Callithrix jacchus: one gene and its partner. The protein of the gene in region 2 interacts with the protein of the main gene of each other region in a pairwise test. Links are inferred from orthologs where the notes say so. Each region holds a gene or a part of one and is shown on either strand. Other genes may lie near its edges.

Region 1 (6,025 bases), about 98 Mb from region 2:
TTAGTCTAATGTCTTAAAGTCAAAAAGGAAAAATAAATACCATTTCTTAAATACCTATCATGTGTGAGACTATGTGTACACATAGTCTCATTTAACTGCCAGAGCAACTAGTGCTATCCCCATTTTGTTTACAGAGATCAGATGTCATCTGAGGTAAGGCATCCATCTGGTGGTTAATTCAGTTGAGTGACTTGTCCAAGATGGTAAAATCAGGACTACAACGTAAGTGGTTTAACTATTAGTCTAGAACCGTTACAGCACAGTTACTTCTGGAAGTCACAGAAATCATATCCCTGGTATCACTAAGCTGTTAACAAATGTTCTAAGAAATAAGTATTTTTGTGATTCAAGTTTTGGACAAGTTACATCAGAATCTTCCAAAACTTAAATATGCACGTTACTCTTCAAAAAGGAAATAAAATGGGAAGTGTTCTCATTCATTAAACCATGAAACCTTCTGTTTTAAAGAAAACATAATAATTTCCCATGGGATGTTTGTGTTCAACTAAAGCAGTTTGGAAAATGATCAGATAATTCAATCTTCTCATTCCATGGCTTGAAAAAATGAGGTGCAGGGAGGTGAAGTGACAGCAACATACTAACAGGACCAGGGCTGGCACCAAGGAGACCTGATGATTCCCACCAGGATGCTCTTTCCCCTAATCATCCTGTCTCACTGTTTCTACAAAGTTTAATATCATTTTTTTTAAGTATTACCTCAATCATTTATTCTGATTTTCCTGAATGACAGTAAAGAGAAACCATTTACAGACATGAAGCTCGAAAATGCTCTGCCTCCCAATGCACTAGTAGTATTTCAGAAACTTGGAATATATTTGGAAATGTGGAAAATGATTCCATTTTAGTAACACGAATAACAATTTTAGGCCAAGTGGTACTACGCTCTTATTTTTCTTTGAAGTGAGACATTAGTCCACCCTAATACTGCATACAGACACACTGAGTAAAGAATATCCAATCTGTGACCATCTTTATAAATTAGGACAATTTGTCCATTGCTTTCCCCTTACCTCATTCGCCCGAGGGTGGCTTCCTTTCACTTTGTCCTACCCCTTCTAGCAAATAGTAAACAGTCCTGGCCAGTGATGCCATCTGGCGGTTAGTTCAGAAATTGTTTAACCAACACACCTTCCAATCAGGATCTTACCATCTGGACCCTCCAAAACCACACTCCCCTTTCTTCCAATTTTTGCCCATTTATCTTAGTAAAACCGGTTTTCTTCTTTTCTGCTCATTTTATCCAACTGAATGCAAAAAGTATTTTATATGCGGCATTCTAGTTACAGAAAAAAATCATGAGTCCTAAGTACATTTGCAGCTAAAGAAACAAACCAACAATGAGAGGCCAAAATAATCCCCAAAATGCCCCCATTAGAGATCCTGTCCTATTAGAGATTACTGGAATCTCCATTATTCATCCAATGCCTTCAAGGAATACCAGTGCTGAGAAGGACCTTGAGGATCATCACTTCAAGGTCAAATGCTTCATTTTATAGCTGAAGAAACTGGCTCCAGGAGAAAGAAATAAAGTAATCACCCACCCAACAGGACACAGCAAGTTAATAATCCTCAAAATGCCCCATTAGAGATCCTGTCCTTATAGAGATTATTCGAATCTCTGTTATTCATCCACTGCCTTCAGGGAATACCAGTGCTGAGAAGGACCTTGAGGATCAACGTTCAAAGTCAAATGCTTCATTTTACAGCTGAATAAACTGGCTCCAGCAGAAAGAACTGAAGTAATCACCCACCTAACAGCACACAGCAAGTTAATGGCAGAGCCATGATTATGACTTGGACTCCCCATTCCAAATCCAGTGCTGGGTAAAGTACTCGGTGTGCTCCAGGCTTCTGAAGCCTGTTTTTCCTCAACCAGTGTGTTAATTAATAGTAATATTGTGAATCTCCTGAGGGCAGTTCCCAAAACTAAATCTCCTCTATACAGTCTCTAGAACATTTCATAAATATTTATTGATTATTTGGGTATCTATCATTAATTGCTGTACTTCTTGCAAATCTAGAATACTTGCAGTAGACACGCTTTTTAAAATCTACTTAAAAAGCACTTTGGGAGGCCGAAGCAGGCGGATCACTTGAGGTCAGGAGTTCAAGCCTAGCCTGACCAATATGATGAAACCTCGTCTCTACTAAAAATATAAAAATTAGCTAGGTGTGGTGGCATGTGCTTGTAATCCCAGCTACTCGAAAGGCTGAGACCGGCAAATTGCGTGAACGCCGGAGGTGGGGGTTGCAGTAAGCCGAAATCACGCCACTGCACTCCAGCCTGGGCAACAAGTGCGACTCTGTCTCAACAACAACAACAACAACAAAAGGGAACTGCCATTTTGTAACACTGTTTCTATGACTATTCCCATTAATCATCACATGGTAACCTTTTGGAACACAATCCACTGAGAAATTTGATACTTCCTGTTCACCTGATTAATCTTAACCAAATGAAGATAGAAGAAAATATGTGGCATAGGGTGAAAACTGAAACCAATTTTAAAAAAGATAAAAATTCTAGTACTAGTTGCATTATAATCAGAAGACTTTAGGCAAGGTCGTCTTCGCTCCCAGAAAATAATCCTCGACCCTAGCCTCTTGTAGGATAACTGCAAATCTTTCTTACAGTACAAATGTCTATAATGCGTAGAGGTATCACTAATAGTGATTTCTATTTTAGGCCCTGTGACTAATTACTTTATATATACAACGTCATGTAATTCTTGCATCCCTATTTTACAGATGAGAAAAAACAAGGCTTAGAAACTTAAAGTCGTTCGGGGTCAGATGAAGAACTCGAGGGCCAGCTTAGAAGTGAAAGCCTCCAGAGCCAGTGCTCCCAACAGGGGAGCGATAATGCAAGGCCCACTTAGATACTACCACTCCATGGCTCTGCAGTCAGTGGGGCGTGAAGGCAAGCGACCAAGATCGCTATTTCCAGGTACAGTTAACGTACATAGTGAAACACTGGAGTACACCGAACAATGAGTCACGAAGACCTGGGTCTTTTCCCTGAACTGGGCAGCTCAGGGACCCGGCAAGTCGCTTAGCACTCTAGGCTTGCCCAACTTGTGGAGAAGAAGGGGCTGCCCTGGAGCCAGCAAGGCTTTTGATCGTGATCACACTCAGGGTGTAAACCTGTGCGTATCAAGTCATGCTTCTGGGAAATAACCTTTATCAGATCTTTCCAAAACGCTGGATTAGACACTGCAAAGTTCCGCTTGCTTCTCCGACAGCAGGAAGCTCCCGGAAGGAGGAGCTTTCTCACGGCTTTATTACGCCACCAGAAAGGCCAGCCGGTGGGCGGACTCTGCCCTCCTTTCCTCACTAAGTTGTGGGAACTGAGAACCGCCGCCGGGCCCTGCTAACCGTTGCTGGCCGCCGCGGGGTGAACGCTCGCACTCTGCCCACCTCTCTGGGTGGGCGGCTAGCAGGGTGCAGGGTGCTGTCTCCCTCCCCCGGCCGCCGGCCGCCGGCTGCCCTGCGCCCCGGCGTTCCGCTTTGGCGTCTGGATCCGCCGCCTACTCTCTGGCCGTTCTCCTGACTCGGCGCATGATCTCGCGGGGCTGGAGCGCGGGGTGACCGCCGAGGACCCCAAAGAGAGAGAGGGGAAACCGCGCAGGGCGCTGCAAGTGTCCCCCACTCCATCCCCCACCCAGGTTTCTCCGGCGCGCGGCGCGGCGAAGCTGCGCGAACTACTTACTGAAGAAGAGGCGGTAATTATGCGAGCAGGGCTCTCCGCGCTCCTCGGTGTGGTACTGGGCCATAGCACGGCGCGGCTGGGTCCCGGCGCTAGTCGCCAACTGCAGGCAGGCCGCGGCGGGGACACCCGCGCGCCAACCGCGGCCCGCGCGCAGCACCAGCAGCAGCAGCGCGCTCATGGCGTAGATGGCGGTCCGGCTCTGCGCGCGGAGGTTCTTGAGGGCCCTGCCCGTCCGCGCCGGCGCCCCCTACCGCTTGGAGTCGTCCCTCCTACCCCGGAGCTTGGGCTGCAATCCCGGTCCTTAGTGGAATCTGGGCCACCAGCCAGTTGTGCGCACTGTACCTTCAGCGAGGCTGCGGCTCAAAGAAGGGCCCACCACTCCTGAGACGCTCACTGCCACTCGTTAATTCATACATTTATTCATGACTTCATTTATCCCTTCAAGATTTACTATCATGATTTATTAGAGTAATGTAATACTGAGTGATTACTCTGTACCGGGAACTGCTCTAGACCCTGTCCAACATCGGAGATGAGCGCATACGCACACAGACATCACTATAAGACAAAATGATCAGGCCACCACGTGAAAACGTGACCTTGACACCGACTTATACAGCAAAAAACCCTAAGTAGCGTATTCAAATGCCATCTTCTTCATGAGGCCGTTTTCTAACCCAGTAGAGGTGATTTATCCTTTCTCTTACATTTTCATTTCTCCAGTGGTATTTGATACCATACCTGTATAACTGTGAACTTATGTTCCCTATTTCACCTTGACCTGCCAGCTAGATGGTAGTTGACCATGCACTGAAGACTTGAAACGTAGTATCCCCGCAGGATGTTGCACCATGCTTGGCATATAATTACGGTTTCTTTATGGCTTCTGAAATTCCCTCTCTGCTAAGTCTTTCTCATCACCTTAGAAATTTCTGGTTATGGAGCCTTCCAGAAAAAATTGTTAAAAGAATTGTCCACAGTCACTGTCTCCATTTCTTCATATTCTTCCCTCATGTCAATCCAGAAGGTTTCCTCCACCTTCCCAAGGTCATCAGATGACCTCCTTGTTGTCAAATAAAATTGATAAAAGTCAATTATCACAGTAAATAGGAGTGAAAGAATCCAGAAGATAGAAGTAAATAAGATTTTATAAATTACAAACTAAAACTTTTTAAAAATTAAATGTATCAGTTACTCAATACATAAAAGTGAGAGCTAGAAGAGTAGCAATTTTATAGAAAGAGGCAAAGAAATGTGTGCTTATGGATTTGAAAAAACAAAGTGAAATTATTTTAATTAAAAGAAGGCATTAAAAAATTATCTCCTGATTTGAAATACTACAGTAAAAATTAGATTATGAGATTTTAATAAGCACAATACATAAATTTATAAAAATATAATTCTAACTTAAAATCCAGGCCCTTTAAGGGAAGACTTACATCCTTTACATAGATTATGTTAACTAATTAAGTAATTAAGTTAGAATTGCAAATTTGATACTACACTAGTTAACTTCTCTGTTCTATGGCTACAAACAACACAATATGGTTAACAAGAAATTAGACAAGATATTTAAAACCAGCATTTACTTGCAAAGATCTGAAAGCTGATACCAAGATGGCTCTGTAGTGGAGAAATCTTGTAGGAGGGAATCAAGTGAATCTGTCTTATTGCTCTTATGTGCTTGACCTCTATTGCTAAGGTCACCTTCGTAATTTAAGATAGCTACCATAGCTCCAACATTACATCCTCATTCCACCTGCCAGACAGACCGAAGAGAAGAAGGTTGTACCCCTTCCCTTGAGAACATTGCTCACAAATCACTTGTATCACTTCTACTTGCATCCCATTGGACAGCACTTAGTCTAACGGCTACCACAAACTATAAACTAGCAAACCTTATTCTGAGTAGTGATAGCCCTATATAACAATTGGGAGCCATACTACTGAGGAAGAAGGAGAGAATGGATATTGTAGGACAACCAGTAGTCTGCCACAAATGTCATTTTTTTTCTTTCTAGTCTGTCTTCTTTGAGACTGTCATCAACTAGACCACTTTCCTACTGGACACCCAGGTTCTTTCAGCATTGTGATCATTAAAATTGGGAGACTAGTCTACCCAGGTTCCAGAAAGGATCTCTAGGAGATGTTGTGACTGGCTACTTAGAGGCTTTCTATTTAGATTATAGATCCTAAAATGTTTTCTCAACAGTGGTAGCTTTGAAATGTGTCAACTTGAATAGGCATAACTATAAGGCAAAAGCTCCATAAAAAGGGAGAGAAAATCTCTTTTGT
Region 2 (5,305 bases):
CCAGCCTGGCCAACATGGTGAAACCCTGTCTCTACTGAAAATGCAAAAATTAGCTGGGCATGGTGGCATGTGCCTATAATCCCAGCTATTAGGGAGGCTGAGGCAGGAGGATCACTTGAGCCCAGGAGGTGGAGGTTGCAGTAAGCCGAGATTGTGCCGCTGCACTCCAGCCTGGGAAACAGAGCAAGACTCTATGTCTCAAAAATAAAAATAAATCAAAAATGAAGTGCACTGGCATAGTCTTGGCTCACTGCAACCTTCGCCTCCCAGGCTCAAGCGATTCTCCTGCCTCAGTCTTCTGAGTGGCTAGGATTACACGTGTGCACCATCACACCTAGCTAATTTTTGTATTTTTAATAGAGGTGGGGTTTCACCATGTTGGCCAGGCTGTTCTCGAGCTCCTGGCCTCAAGTGATCCACCCACCTTGGCCTCACAAAGTGCCGGGATTACAGTTGTGAGCCACCATGCCTGGCCCTGCCATCTGCCGTCTTTTGAGATCTTCCCTGGAGACCCAGACCTGAACCCTCCTACTTGTTCTCTTCTTGTCTAATACCCCTAATGACAGTGCAGCTTAGACCATTAATGGAGAGCTTGACCTCATCTGGTACCTTCACTGAAGGAAACAGCTTAGTGTCTTTTGTGTTGAACACTGAGGTAAAAAATTGGATTAGTTGATTATATGAACTCTGCTAAAATTGAGTGCATTTTACATTCTTTAAGGCCTTATTGGGCCCTGGTTAAATAATTTTTTTTAAAAATCCTTTAGGAGCCTATTATGAACAGATCTATGGTCTTAATGAAATGTGATTAATAGTGTGCATTATTTTAAGCACTTTTGACTTCTCAGAAAACTTTTGCAACATGTCCCATTTTATAGTAGCATAGGTTTAAGTACCTCTGGTCTCTGAGTTAGTGGACAAGAAACCCTTATGGATAGTCTAGTGAAGTTTGGTACAAGTCTATATTGAGTTTCATACTTCATTTTTTTTCCAGTTTTAAAAATTGTGGTTAAATAGGAATAACATAAAATTTATTTTCTTAACCATTCTTTACGTTGGTATTCGATCCGTTTAAATAATGTCCTGGAATCATCACTACCATCCGTCTCTGTAACCTTTTCATCATGTAACGCTGAAACTCTGTTCCCGTTGAACTCTGTATCTTCTGTCCCTGCCACATCCCTGGCAACCATTCTTTCTGTCTTCCGAATTTGACTCCTTTAGGTTCTCGTATACTTTAGGAGTCACACAGTTTTTGTGCTTTTGTTACTGACTTGTTTCACTTAGCATACATAGTGTCCCAAAGCTCATCCATGTTGTAGCCTGTGTCAGAACTTCCTGATGTTTCAGGCCAAATACTATTCTGTTCTATGGATAGACCACATCCTGCTTTTCCATTCCTCTGTCCGTGGATACTTGTATTGCTTTCACGTTTTAGCTATTGTGACTCATGCTGTTACGAATGTGGGTATACAGATATCTGTTGGAGACTCTGCTTTCCATTTTTGTGGCTAAATACCCAGAAATGGAGTTGCTATTACATCCCAATTTTAATTCAAAAATTCGCATCAAGTGTTTTATCTAATAGTATAGTAGTTAACAAGCTAATAAAACAATATTTTGGTAATTTGCTGGTAGTTTTAGAAGTCCATCGCTCAGTTTTTTAAGGTCAATTACACAGGACATTTCAAGTGGATGTGAAACATCCTGTGATGTAGACTCATGTCCCAAACTGATGGCTATACATACGAAATACCATGCCCGAAATTTAGTAGATGTAGTCTCTGCAATTTAGGAGATAACCTGTTACATCGTTAGGTTTTTGTCTAAAAGCTTTGTCCTCATATTTCCAGCTTGCTGTAAAATTTGTTTGTGAAGACAAATGTTTTTGTATGGGCTTTTTCTTTATTATATTAAAAAGAAATTTCCACATTGGAATTTCTCGAGCTATCAAAGCTTTTCATAATGTTGTGGTAAGGAGTGATCATAAACAGTTTCCACACTTGCATTTCTGTCCATTTGAATAGATGACAGATGAGCGCCCTTGTGTTCTATGTGTAAAACGTGCTCTTTCATCTTGCCTTTCCATGTTGGAGGGCTTGTCCCTTGGCGATCACACTTCAGAATTCTCACAGCCCCCCTTGAACTGTTTAGGTGTTAGACGGTGCTGACAACCAGTATTTGGGCCCGCAGATTGGACAGCCCCAGGATGAAGATGAGGAAGCCACAAGTGTCCTTCCTGATGAAGCCTCGGAAGCCTTCAGGAACTCTTCCATGGGTATGTGGACTCCAGGTGATGTGCTACAACGTGGTCTCGTATTCAGCCCTGGACATCTTAATTGCATCTTTGCTTCCAAGAAGAAATCCGTTGATATCGTTTTCCGAGTTCTGAATAGCTGATGAAAATGACCAATTTAGGAATAATCATACTTTTTCTTGATCTAAATCCTATACTTTCGAGTTATCTTAGCATAAATGTATAATTGCATTGTATGTGGAAATTTGCCACTTAATCTTGATTTCTCTGTTTTTAAAGCCCTTCAACAAGCACATTTATTGAAAAACATGAGTCACAGCAGGCAGCCTTCTGACAGCAGTGTTGATAAATTTGTGTCGAGAGATGAAGCTACTGAATCGGGTGATCAAGAAAGCAAGGTGAGGGACGTAGGCTTGAGACACTTTGGTGTTTCTGAGCTTGCGTGAGGATTTGAAGTCGCCCTGGCTACCGTCTACTTTATTGCTTTCCCATCCCTGGGATTTAAAATTTCCCCTTTAAATACCAGCTCTTCCCAGGCCTGTTATTTTCACCTCTCCAGGTACTACCCACAGCCTGAAGAGTTGCCTGAGTTCTGCCTCCTTTGAGAGTGTACCCCAGAGAAATCGGTTCTGTACTGAACGTTTCCTTGTCTGATTTCTTGGACCATTCATTTGATCGTTGTGTGTGGCCTTGCAATGGTTCTTGTTTTGGTTCTATTGAATTGTTTTAAAAGTCTCTCTTTATATTATCTTTTTACATGTGAATGTAATGGTCTTCACTTTGAATTCCTCAAGGGCAAGAACTAGGGTTTCACAGTCAGTCCCATCTACCAGGCCACTTCATCTTATCTTCCGGCTTCCCCAGGCTGTGTCCTTTCCCCAAGTAGTTTCTGCTTGTCCAGTAGAAGACCACTCACTCATGCTTTGCTTTCAGAGCAGGCTTTCCTGAATGCCTGGTCTTGGCTGCCTTCTTACCATGCCCACCCTCCCTGCATGCTGTGTTCATCCCCTGCCACAGCCCTGTGACCCAGTGTCCTGCTGCCTCTGGCTTGTCTGTTTCTGCTTGGCCATGGTCTCTGTGAGGTCAGGTGTGCATATGGGCACAGACCAGGACATTTCTTTATCCCCAGCACCCAGCGTAAGTGCTGCTCAAGAACTATTTGTTGAATGGACTAATGCATGAATGTATTGGTTGAGTATGAGACAAACAAGTGTCACTGTCTCCTTTCTAGCCTTGCCGCATCAAAGGTGACATCGGTCAGTCCACCGATGATGATTCCGCACCTCTTGTCCATTGTGTCCGCCTTTTATCTGCTTCGTTTTTGCTAACAGGGGGAAAAAATGGTGAGTAAAATAGGGCAAGTACGGAGTTGGAGGAAATAACCAGGTTTCAGAGGTCAACCTCATGGCCTGCTTTTGCCTTGTGTGCCCCAGAGGCAGTGGAAACTGGGGGTGAGTTTTGTTTTCACTAACTGAGGGGAAAGGAAGAAATGATGGGAGCAGGTGGGTTATTGGGTCTAGCTTTGCTCATTTGAAAACTGTCTGTTGTTTGAGCCTGAGAGTGGCTTGGGTGATTTCTTGGCAGTGCTGGTTCCGGACAGGGATGTGAGGGTCAGCGTGAAGGCCCTGGCCCTCAGCTGTGTGGGAGCGGCTGTGGCCCTCCACCCGGAGTCTTTCTTCAGCAAACTCTATAAAGTTCCTCTTGACACCGCGGACTACCCGGGTATGTTAAAATTTGCATCTTTTTCTCAGATTTAATCATCATTGTAACAACTATTGCAGTATTGACTATTTGAGTTTTAGAGCAGTAAATGTTTTGAGTTTATTTGGGGTATTTGACCTGCATTGTAGCTCTTCCAAAAACTTATGAATAGTAAGTTCTTAGTTGCATTGGTTCCCTTTAGATGAAACCCATAGAGACAAAAATAGAAACCTGGGCATGTAAGAGCCAATTTATATACACATCGGGTTTAAACCTAAAACACAAATTGTGCATGGTCACAGTTGAGCTGGGTCGTACTGAGCCAGGCCAAGCATTCACACTTGGGGGACTGGCAACCAAGATGGGCTGAGGTAGCAATGGACCCGTGTCTCTACCGCACGTGTGCTCGTTATGGAGCAGACATCATCCTCCAGCCTTATCTTTCTCTCTTTTTCTTTGGATGAGAGGGTACACTTGTACTTTTGAATTTATATTAGGTAAGTGTGTAATAGTTAAGGTTTTTACTAATCTTTTTAAAGTGAAATCTGGAATTTTGATTATTGTCTGACAACCTAGAATTATAATCCAGAGAGTCTGTTGTATTGAGGATATATTGGCAATATGATGACTCTGTAATTTTTAAATCCTGAAACGTTTTTTCTATCACTTATGGTTATTATAGTGAAGTCATTTCTGAATTTGGGTCTTCTCTTCACACCTCTTTTTCTCTTTCCTGAGAATCAAGCTTTTGTTTTGAGTTAGAAAGTTGATGGTGGGGAACTGTTCCATGGGGGGGCACTCTGTTTCCACAGAGATCAAGCTTTTGTTTTGAGTTAGAAAGTTGATGGTGGGGAATTGTTCCCTGGGGGGGGCAATCTGTCTCCACAGAGGAACAGTATGTCTCAGACATCTTGAACTACATCGATCACGGAGACCCACAGGTTCGAGGAGCCACTGCCATTCTCTGTGGGACCCTCGTCTGCTCCATCCTCAGCAGATCCCGCTTCCACGTGGGAGAGTGGATGGGCACCATTAGAACCCTGACAGGTAATGGCCGGTTTTTCAGCTGTGTTTTTTCTAAATCTCATGACCAAGTATTAAGTTTCCATGATGACGTTGCTCCTTGTTGTTCTGCTTAGGAAATACATTTTCTTTGGCGGATTGCGTTCCTTTGCTGCGGAAAACATTGAAGGATGAGTCTTCTGTTACTTGCAAGTTGGCCTGTACAGCTGTGAGGGTGAGCATAATCTTCTCTGGAAACCATTTCTTCAATTAGTGGACACTTTATCATCACTAAAATTAAAATTGGAGCCTAATAGGAAATATTTCCATATACTCTGAAGCTGC

What was found. The genes of interacting proteins can lie anywhere in the genome.
Region 1: the proteins of HTT (region 2) and PPA2 interact in binary tests that used the Homo sapiens proteins (3 or more experiments, as listed by UniProt). The link is inferred for Callithrix jacchus from reciprocal best matches to the Homo sapiens genes HTT and PPA2.

The regions. Positions count from the first base shown.
Region 1 is NC_133504.1:91,980,729-91,986,753, reverse strand, and holds the start of PPA2 (inorganic pyrophosphatase 2, mitochondrial), read right to left. Parts: upstream 3,921-6,025; 5' UTR 3,909-3,920; coding exon 3,731-3,908; intron 1-3,730.
Region 2 is NC_133504.1:190,018,514-190,023,818, reverse strand, and holds part of HTT (huntingtin), read left to right. Parts: intron 1-2,154; coding exon of another isoform or gene 2,155-2,193; coding exon 2,194-2,278; intron 2,279-2,536; coding exon 2,537-2,655; intron 2,656-3,488; coding exon 3,489-3,600; intron 3,601-3,841; coding exon 3,842-3,979; intron 3,980-4,846; coding exon 4,847-5,005; intron 5,006-5,097; coding exon 5,098-5,195; intron 5,196-5,305.